Linked DNA regions of Arabidopsis thaliana. The protein of the gene in region 2 purifies or fractionates together with the protein of the main gene of each other region. This does not show direct contact. Each region holds a gene or a part of one and is shown on either strand. Other genes may lie near its edges. The genes, in order: TAFII21 and KU80.

Region 1 (3,861 bases), 2.5 Mb from region 2:
AAACTGGACACTTAGGGTTTAACTCTCGTTCCACGGTTGAAGCACATCGCCTGCAACATACTACATGTCCACAGGGAATAAACGCAGGTACTCTCCTTCTTGACACGCAGATCACACACAATTCTCCATCTGGGATTTCATCTGCATCTTCGGGTTCATCATCGACCACAGAATCGTTCGGTCTCTGTGGCAGTTCTCTCTGATGGTTCCATTGTTTCCATTTATTCCAGGTCCTGAAGATAAGACAGTTAAACAGATTTCAAATCGAAACATTGCCCAAATCTAAAACCAAATCTGATCTCTCACAACTCCAGTACCTGACAGCAGCATAGCTAAGGATGCCAACAGACACAATGCCCAAGATAACGCTGCCCAAGAATATAAAGTTGGTCTGTTCCATAAGGTCCTCAATCATCTTGTCCTTGGTCATCTCTGATCTGCAAAGATTATTCATAAAGATTTATATATGAACAGCAAATAGAGCCTTTCTGCAACAATGGACTAAATCTTGTCAAATGATCAACAGATTGAGAAAACATAAAGAAGAAGATGAAGTAATAATTTGAGCTAGAACGCAGGCAGATATATAAGAACGAAAAATATTCAGATAAAATCTCACAAGAAATAAGGAAGATCTTGGCACGATTTGATTTCAGGAACTCCATTATTAAAACTGTAGATGCCAACAGCTGTTATATCTTTCCCAGGTGGTAAAATCTTCTCTATATCAAGCAGACCAACCTTGGAAGAGAAAGGATTACAAAGTTAGCCAAGAACAAGTAACCATCAGTTCCTCAAAACCAGAAATTTCTTTGAATATATATATACTCACAGGATAATCGGGGTACAAAAAGGCTTGAAGAAACGAAGAATTAATAGGCTGCAAGCGATTATACACAGTGGTAAGCGGAAGAGGTTGCCTTGAGCCATCCATGTTAACAGCGACAAAACTAGAGTTCGATTGCTGATCCTTTCCAACAATGACAAATGGGACCTGCACAAAGCAAAGGATACACAAAACAAGTTTGATCATGGATACAGAGCCAAAGTTGAAAGCTCTGAAGCTGATAGAGAGACTTTACCGTTCTCGTAAAATCAGCACCGTGTTTGCGCAATGATCTCTCCAACATAAACCGGTGACCAGTGGACTGAAACAATCTCTTCCATCCACTATACACATACTGTCAACAACAAAATGATGACATTAGAAACATACATTTCCCTTCTGAGATCACACCAGTACCAACTTACATAATCCTAACTTAATCAATCACAATGAACACCTAATCATGAAGAAATCATCCAAACTCTTTAACCTAAGCCTTTGATAAGAACACAAAGCAAAATTAGGTCAATGTCAATTGCAATTTGAGGGAAACATAAACACTTAGGGTTTAGAGCAACGTACAGTTTGCGTTCTCTGAATGATAAGAGCTTTATCTCCAGTCTCCGGAGAGATTAACACGTTGTTGTTCTTGTAACCCTCATCACCGGAAATTTTCGGTTTGACGACTCCGCGAACCACAACGATTCGCTGATCATTGCTCTTCCTGTTATCGTTAGTCTCTGATTTGTCTTCAGAAGCCGGAAGCAGTGATCGGAGGTCGGAAATGGAGACTTCGGGTGCATCTTTGATCTTCTTCAACGCGGCGTTGGTAGAAGCATACTTGAGAGCAGAACCGACGGCGCTAACAGCTAAAGTCAGTCCGAGGATTGCGCCGTCGAAGGAGAGAGCGATGTCCGTCAATAGATTCAAGAGAGCACGCTCCGGCGAGGACATTGTGGTAATTTCGATTTCAACGTCGTAGACACGGTCACACGGACAAGTAAACGGAAGAGAAATGAGGCTATTATCGGTATTTAATATTATACATTCGACCGTCGTTCTAATTTGGGTCTTTAATGGGCCTATGCACGAGTGAAATACAAAATACTAGTAATAAATAGCGTTTTAGTTAAATTACATTTACACCCTCAACGTTACAGCAGATTTACAAACCAAAACCATAAATATCAGATCTAGAGTGGCAGAGATTAGTATTTCCCGATTCCTCGCCGCCGTTCATCAATCTCTCCGTCGTGTTTCTGCCACTAGCTCTCCACCAAACTTTCTCTCTCGCATTAGGTATTTATCGCCTCTTTATGGCATATAATCTTGTGTTTTGGAACTTATTGATGAAGCTAGGTTAGAATCTCCTTTGTCTTTCTTATCTCCGATTCGTGAAGCTCTAATTCTTATTTATTCGATTTATGTAATGTGTTGCTGTTACACGATGTTTGCTTGTGAGATTCGATTGAAACTTGTGTTGTTGCAACATCAATTCTGTATAAGAAAGGTTCTTAATTTGACTCTGTAGCTTTACTTTTTTTTTAGTTGTTTAGGGATAAACATGGCAGGAGAAGGTGAAGAAGATGTACCTAGAGATGCTAAGATTGTGAAATCTCTGCTTAAGTCGATGGGTGTAGAAGACTACGAGCCTCGTGTGATACATCAGTTTCTGGAGTTATGGTACCGGTATGTGGTCGAAGTGTTGACAGATGCTCAGGTTTACTCAGAGCATGCTAGCAAACCCAACATTGACTGTGATGATGTGAAGCTCGCTATTCAATCCAAAGTTAATTTCAGCTTCTCACAGCCTCCTCCAAGAGAGGTATGCATTGTTGACGATTCCATGTTTCTTCTTCTTCATTGTCTGAGAAGAGATGCGATATGATCGGTCATTTGGTATATGTGAATCATTAGGGAATTATCACTCTTACTTATGACTTATGAACTGTGTGTGACCCTCTTGCCTCATAAATTGTATCACTGAGAACCTCAAGTTTTTGTCTGTCACATCCATGCCTTTTGGTTCCTGAATCTTGAAGTTTCTGTTTTTGATGTTTGATTTAGGTTCTGCTTGAGCTTGCTGCAAGTAGGAACAAGATACCTCTGCCAAAATCGATAGCAGGACCCGGTGTTCCACTCCCACCTGAACAGGACACATTGCTGAGCCCAAATTATCAGCTCGTGATACCGAAGAAGTCGGTTTCAACAGAACCTGAAGAAACCGAGGACGATGAAGAAATGACAGATCCTGGACAGTCCTCTCAAGAACAACAACAGCAGCAACAACAAACCTCAGACCTTCCAAGCCAAACTCCTCAAAGGGTCTCTTTCCCACTCTCTAGACGACCCAAATAAGTACCCAAATAAGTAGATAGACCAAAAAATCTATAATATTTATGTATCAACAAGTAGAAATGTAACACAATCAAAAATTAATGACCAGAGCCAGTTTTTATGGACCAGATCCAGATGTGTGGTTTGAAGATTTAGAATGTAAGAGAATCAAATATTAATGACCAGAGTCAGTTTTTTAGAACATATAGGCATATCTTATATACACTGTTGTGTGGGAATCAACAATACCGAAGGTACAACAAATCTTCTGAAGCATTATACTATATATGCAACTATAGTATATATACATGAACAAAGGTAATTAAGAGAATCAGTTAGCTTCCCCAGCCAACCATGGTACCAGTAGCTGCACGGTGAGGCCGTGAAAACGCAAGCCCTCGATCATACATCCGCTGAATTTCCTCTCTGTATTCAGTCAGAGACTTGTCAGGTATGGCTGGAGTCAGCTCCACCACATCTCCCATCTTCAGCTTGCATTTCAGATCACTTACAGGTGTCTGGTTAAGTCTTGGCCTTAGCTCTTCCTTTGCCGGGATGCTGTACATTGACCATCTCGAGCTCCCTGGTCCTGCTCTGCGTAACAGGTCCGACACGGTAGAATTCTCGGGAAACTCTTGCACAGTCATCTGCATTTTCGGGTTTATCAAATTATAACTCCAAGCAAAGAAACATCCTCA
Region 2 (6,307 bases):
TTCTTAAAAAAAATATATATTAATATTTTAATCAAAACAGATATATTAATTATTATTTAATAGTTGAACTACAGTAAAAACTCTATAAATTAATACTCGATAAATTAATAAACACGATAACTTAATAAATTTTGCCGGTCCTAAGTCGGGCCAATGTAAAAATTAACCAAAATCGATAAGATAATAAGATAATAATTTTTTTGAAATCCCTATGTAAAATTATAGTCCCAATAATATTATAAATTAATAATCATAGATCTTAAGTATATATTTTAAGACTAATTTTTATATGAAGTTTTTGTTTAAACTACAATTATAACTCTTTTTAAAATACAACTGGTATGATCTATGTTGTACTCACATAACTATTTGCGTATTTGATCCGTAATAGTTGATTTTGTAAAAAACATTATTTGAAAAAACATTGCTAAGATTTGTGTAAAGAAAAATTGGATTAAGCTTCATGTTTACGTTTACGTTCACGTTAATATCGTAGATATAAAGACACAATATATTGCCAAAAAATAAATTAAAGAAGTCAAAGAAAAATAAAAACCTAACATAATTATATATGCAAACAACAAAGCATATAAAAAATTAAATTAAGAAATATTTTAAAAGAAATATAGTATTGTATTTTAAGTAAATATTTCTATAAATTAATATTTATTAACTTATAGGATAAATTAATAAATATTAATTTATAGGATAAATTAATATCACTATAAATTAATAAAATTTTATGGTCCCAACATTATTAATTTATAGAGTTTCTACTGTAATAGTATTGTGACAGCTGTCCAAATTGGATGAGAATAGTTTTTCAAAGTTTCTAGCAGAAAAAAACTTAATTCTCCTTCTCTCATACTTTTTATTTTTTAATTATTATTTTTTTGATTGGGGATCTCATTGAGATACTCCAATGAAGATGCTCTAAGGGAAATCTCATGTCAAATTGTTTTTTCTTTTTAAATTAGTTTTCCTATAAAACTTCTGGTTATCGAACAAAAAGGGTTGTTTCTGAAACTAGTTATGGAAGGTAAAAAATTTCCCTGAGCGTTCTTGATATCAAAAGTGAAAACGGTACCGTTTTGGACAACACAGTTACAATATCAGTTATAGCGAAGACTTTGTTAGCTCTCGAGCATTGACTCTTGTTTAACGATGAAATCCCCAGCGTTCTCGTCTACTATATCACTGGTTAAAGCAATGACCAACAAAAACATTCATCAGACCAATTTAGTTATTAAACAGAAGATGGTTTATATAACTAACCTGTCCGCTGCTTCGGATTTGGGAATCAAAGTGATCTTCTTTGACATGAAATGTTCGAGAAGATGAGATAAGTTTCTTTCTTGGCATAACTTGAATAGATGGTTCAAGAACTCATTGAATTGCTTTGGCTCCTGCTCACATATTTAAGAAGACTCCATGAAAAAGTTTTGAGAGAAAATGCACAAAGTCGAGATAGAGAAAATAGAAGAGACCTGCTCCAAGACGCAGCCTTTACGAAGAGCGAGTACACATTCCAATGCTTTGTCACCCTCGTCGGTACAATTTTCTACAAGCTTCATTATTAGGTTTTTCATTTGTGTGATTGCTTTCTCGGTCCAGTCAGTTTTATCTCTGCGGGATATCATGGCTTCAAAATCTTGAATTGGGTTTGCATCTCCGACTATATCAATTTTGTTCTCTTTGGCGTCATAAGTAATCATGCGATTGTCTTCATCATCTGAACCCGATGGTTTATCCCGCAACAATCTCTTAGAAGCCTTCTTCAACTGCAATGAAAGTCATGTCAAAGAGTTATGAATGAGATCATTCAGGTTCCTTTCTGAAAGCTGATGATTCAGGGGAACACACCTTTGGATTCTCCTTGACTTCAAAACTTCCACGAAACGTGTCCATTATGGATTTATTGTTGGAAGAGAGTTCAGGGTCCTGCTCCATAAGTCTCTTGAAAGTTCCATCCATTGGAGGTAAAGTAGCATCCGTGGATTTCGATTTCAACTCAAGGTATTCATAAAAGCGCTGATAAAAATATTTCATCAGTATGAGTTGACAAATTACCTGCAACAATTATACAAAGCAGAATAAAACTGGTATTACCTGCAAAACCGGGTTAGGAGTAAGATCAGGCTTTAGTACTTCCTCTTCCGCAGAAGGTGCAAGGTCAAGCATCTTAACCAAATTATCTGCTACTGCTTGTTGTTGTTCATCTGGCTTCCATGATGAAGGAAGCTTGTTGAAAGAAGGAAATGGAAACTCGCGGACATCCTCGGCGAAAGGTAGCACATTGAAGTAAAACGAATCAGGCTGCGAAAAAGGTAAATGATCATCAAATAGTCAGATTCGGATAGAAATTTTCCTTTCAGAAGATAACACTATTAACTTACAGTATCATCTCTTTCAGACACATTTGGAGTCAGGACCCCAACAACCACATTGCCTTGTCCATTTCTCCAGACACATCGTACAATTGCTACCTTGTTTGTTTCTTTCATTTCTCTTGCAATAGCAGATACGGCAAGTACAGATTTTTCTTTGCTTGGATCAGGAACAACTATATTCACGTCTTTCATGTAATAATGTCTTCATTGACATGCAGAGAAAAACACAAAACAGCATTCTCTCAAACTTTAACAACCAAGAGTTTACAGGCAAACATAGATATATGTCTTTATGTTTACCGCAGTATATTTGACGCCTCAGTAAATCCCAGAAGCTTCATGCCTTTGTCAGTTTTAAACTTGAGTGTTTCTATCTGATCTGGTGATATAGGAATAACCTGAGGTCCATAGCGAAAGCCCTTGATCCTTTCTTCTGGAGCAATAACCTCAGTAGATTCTGCAGTAACTTTGTAATCATAATCAACTTTTACTTCATGTTTGGCAAACTTGTCAGTTGGAGGCGCTTTGTCAGAATACATTTTTAGAGTGGGAAGTCTCTCCTCAGCCACTTTCTTATAAACCCACACCTACAAAATTTCACATTCTTATTTTCAGAAAAAATTTCACGAACAATTATATAAACGTGAATGAACTTAAGTACTGAATAACAACAAAGAACAGCAAGTTCGATGATATCTATAAACTCTGCACAACAAGCAAAAGACACAACCAAAAAAGCGTTACCTTAATCTTCATTGTTGGGTTAATTTCAAGGTCACCCCTGAACAAAGTAACTGGAGCCACCCTCCGGGTCTTTAAGGAACCAAGCAGTGAGAGTGGACTATCAACATTCACTGTTTTGGCAATCGCGTTGCTGGAGAATAAAGTCAACAGATGATCATTCTCCTCTATTACTCTCTCATGAGCATCACCACTTAAATTAGACCTCATAACAATGCTCTCCATCTTAATTCCCTCCGCAGCCATTTTCATAGCAATAGTGCTGACTTGATCATCTTTCGTCCCTTCAAATGGATCTTTGGTAGGACAAGCTGCGTTCGTGATGAGACACATCCGTTTTTTCCCCTTGTGTGCATTACCATACATCTTTATAAGCATATCCATCCCAACAATTAAAGCATCAAGAACTGAAGCCAGTTAAAGAACCAAGAAAATGGTAGCGAAACAGTAAAAATAAGCGGTAAACTAGCTAGCAGGATACAGTCTCCAGCTACAGTTCCTCGAGGAAGCTGCTTCACATGCTCTGCCGCTAATTCATCAACAACTCTGATATTCCTTAAAACTGTAACATTCTCATATCCACCTATCTCCCTAGCAAGCTCGTTTCCAGTTTCTGCAGAGGTCACATGAAACATTATTATCAAAGTACATCAACAAGCCGATAATACTCCAAGAAAGAACCATTGCAGTACTAAAGAGGATAGATTCCTAACTTCCTACTTTAATCAGTAATAAGAATAGATAGAGAGACCTTCAGTTCCAAAGACAACAATTCCAACTTCATCATACTTGTTGTAAATCAACTGCAACAACAAACCAAAACCAATAAGGAAAGATCCAAAATTCATGAACAATAATTTCAGAAGAAAAAGATCGTATACCTTCTTCTGAAGTAGCATTGAACATGCCTTTTCAACATCAGGGAGAACACTACGCATCGCAGGACCTACATCGAGCACCAAAACCAAACCCTCCTGCTTCCGATGAACACACACACACACATCGAATTAAAAGTAAAATCGAGCAGGACTAATTTCTCTCAAATGAAATGACAAATTAAAACCCTAAATTACTCCAAGAACAGTTCCAAAAATGAATCAATGAGATATCCAGAACATAATTGAGCATAAAACGAAGTCAAAATCAGCATAAACAGAATTATCAAAGAAGAAATGGTATGCAGCAATGTAGAATAACATGCACGAAACTAAGTAGAAAAAGAAACATCGATGGAAAACAAACAGAAGCTGAAGAAGGTATTAATTTCATTGAATTGATTTCTGAAGAAACCTATAAGAAAAAAAAACGAAGGTTAATATGTAACGAAGTAAGATTAGAAGAAATTATACCCGATTTCGTGCCATTGAGGAGTTGTGCTGGAAGAAGAAGGTGAAGAAGAAGAAGAAGAAGAAGAAGAAGAAGAAGAATGATGAGAAAAAGAGAGATGGTGAAACGAAGAAGACGAAGAATTTTTATTTTATTTTTTTGAAAATAGGCTGACTGACTCTAACGTGGCCTTAAAATGAGATAGGCCCATTGGGCTAAACTATCTAAGAAAAAGTCCATATGTCCAACTTCCAATATGGACTCTGTAGATTTAACAAAAATGGGTATTTTAATAAAGTATGTAATGAATCATATCTTATATAGTATATATCCCTCTGAATCTAAACATAACAATTAAATTTTACTTTTTATTTAAAGTTTAGAAATACAGTTACAAAAAATTATTTTCACTATATTAATTATTTTTCCATTTTAAAACCTCATAAACACATTATCATATTTTAATTTTTTTCAGTAGGCATCCTATATTTTTTTTAGTAGGATCCCAAACTTGAATTTTTCCATGTACCGATCGGTAGGCATCCTATATTAATTATGTCGCAAAGATGTGGTAAGACCCGACCTTGAGATCGTCGAGGATAAAGGGAGAACAAAGAGCATTTTGAGAAAGAAAGTCAACCCACATTTAGAAGAACGAACAAGATTCAATTATTCACAAAGGATATCAAATCATCAACTTCAGTGAAGTCACGCCCAATGCTCAAAATCATCAACCTCGCGTCACCACACACATATTTGTATACACTTGTCTTGTTTCTTAACCAAGAATACACGTATGTAATTTATTTCGCCGTCAAATAATGATTTTTCTTCAAAAATGCAAAACACATACAAATAGTTAAAAATGTTGTTGCGAACTTTCAACGTTAAAAAAAAACAGTTAGATTATATATTATATGTTTACTACTTTGTTTACTCATATTATTATTTAATTTGGTATAATTTCTGCATTTTAAAAACAATAGATATGTAACAACAATTAAATATTTTCTTTTTGTAAGATCAATTTCAATTTATTAAAACATCAAATAGTCTTATGTTTACCGTTTATATATGTTTCGGTTGGATTTTTAGAATCTTCTAAGCCATTGAATTTGTTCGTCATAGGCAGTTCGGTTGGAACTTTGAATTTCAGATATACAAAAAAAAATAGATTAAAAAAAAAAGAACTAAAATCACAAAAAATGTATAAGAACTTATTACATATTCTCAAATAAAACTGGACCTTTCCCTTTTTTTTTTGTGAGTCCCATATGGAAGTTGGGCTTAGAAAATTAAAAGTTGAAAAAAACTTTTTAATTTAAACTAAATATTTAAAAACAGTCTTTTTATAGTTTATATATGTTCCAGTTAGATTTTTGGAATCTTCTGAATCATTGAATTTGTAAGTAACATTTGCGGTTATGTGGGAAATATGTGAATTTAAATATACAAAAAAAAGTAGATAAGAAAACTAGAGATCACAAAGAATATATAAGAATCTATTACACTTTCTTGTCCAATATGGTATATGGAAGTTGGGCTTAAAAAATTAACTCTTTTTTAGTAAAATAAATATTTTTAAAACAGTATTTTAATACATTAAAATTTATAAATTATATTAAATATAGGCATGGGTCAATTAAGAAATATGCAAATAAACAACCAACACAGAAACCAAACCCTAATTCCCCATTCCCTGTCTTCTTTATTCTTTTAGGCGAATTTCAATTGCGTCCAAGCAAAGCACCACCTCTTACCCCGTTGATTTATTCGTCGATTTGCCTTTCGGTGAAATTCGCAATCGGATCTACTCCATTTGATTATTAACCAAGTCATGATTTTGAGTC

What was found.
Region 1: the proteins of KU80 (region 2) and TAFII21 fractionate together in Arabidopsis thaliana (co-fractionation; one large-scale study listed by BioGRID). This does not show direct contact.

The regions. Positions count from the first base shown.
Region 1 is NC_003070.9:20,213,399-20,217,259, reverse strand, and holds TAFII21 (TATA binding protein associated factor 21kDa subunit), read left to right. Parts: upstream 1-1,994; 5' UTR 1,995-2,125; intron 2,126-2,374; 5' UTR 2,375-2,390; coding exon 2,391-2,651; intron 2,652-2,893; coding exon 2,894-3,184; 3' UTR 3,185-3,361; downstream 3,362-3,861. Other genes in the region: SPL2 (E3 Ubiquitin ligase family protein), read right to left, coding at 1-233, 318-437, 620-741, 833-994, 1,083-1,181, 1,409-1,780; RSH3 (RELA/SPOT homolog 3), read right to left, coding at 3,499-3,810.
Region 2 is NC_003070.9:17,721,686-17,727,992, reverse strand, and holds KU80 (Ku80 family protein), read right to left. Parts: upstream 4,612-6,307; 5' UTR 4,496-4,611; coding exon 4,481-4,495; intron 4,106-4,480; coding exon 4,013-4,105; intron 3,935-4,012; coding exon 3,883-3,934; intron 3,745-3,882; coding exon 3,613-3,744; intron 3,539-3,612; coding exon 3,135-3,538; intron 2,978-3,134; coding exon 2,691-2,977; intron 2,593-2,690; coding exon 2,397-2,592; intron 2,317-2,396; coding exon 2,110-2,316; intron 2,032-2,109; coding exon 1,864-2,031; intron 1,782-1,863; coding exon 1,488-1,781; intron 1,407-1,487; coding exon 1,276-1,406; coding exon of another isoform or gene 1,263-1,275; exon of another isoform or gene 1,198-1,262; coding exon 1,134-1,197; 3' UTR 750-1,133; downstream 1-749. Other genes in the region: AT1G48040 (Protein phosphatase 2C family protein), read left to right, coding at 6,295-6,307. UniProt on the Arabidopsis thaliana protein: Single-stranded DNA-dependent ATP-dependent helicase. Involved in DNA non-homologous end joining (NHEJ) required for double-strand break repair.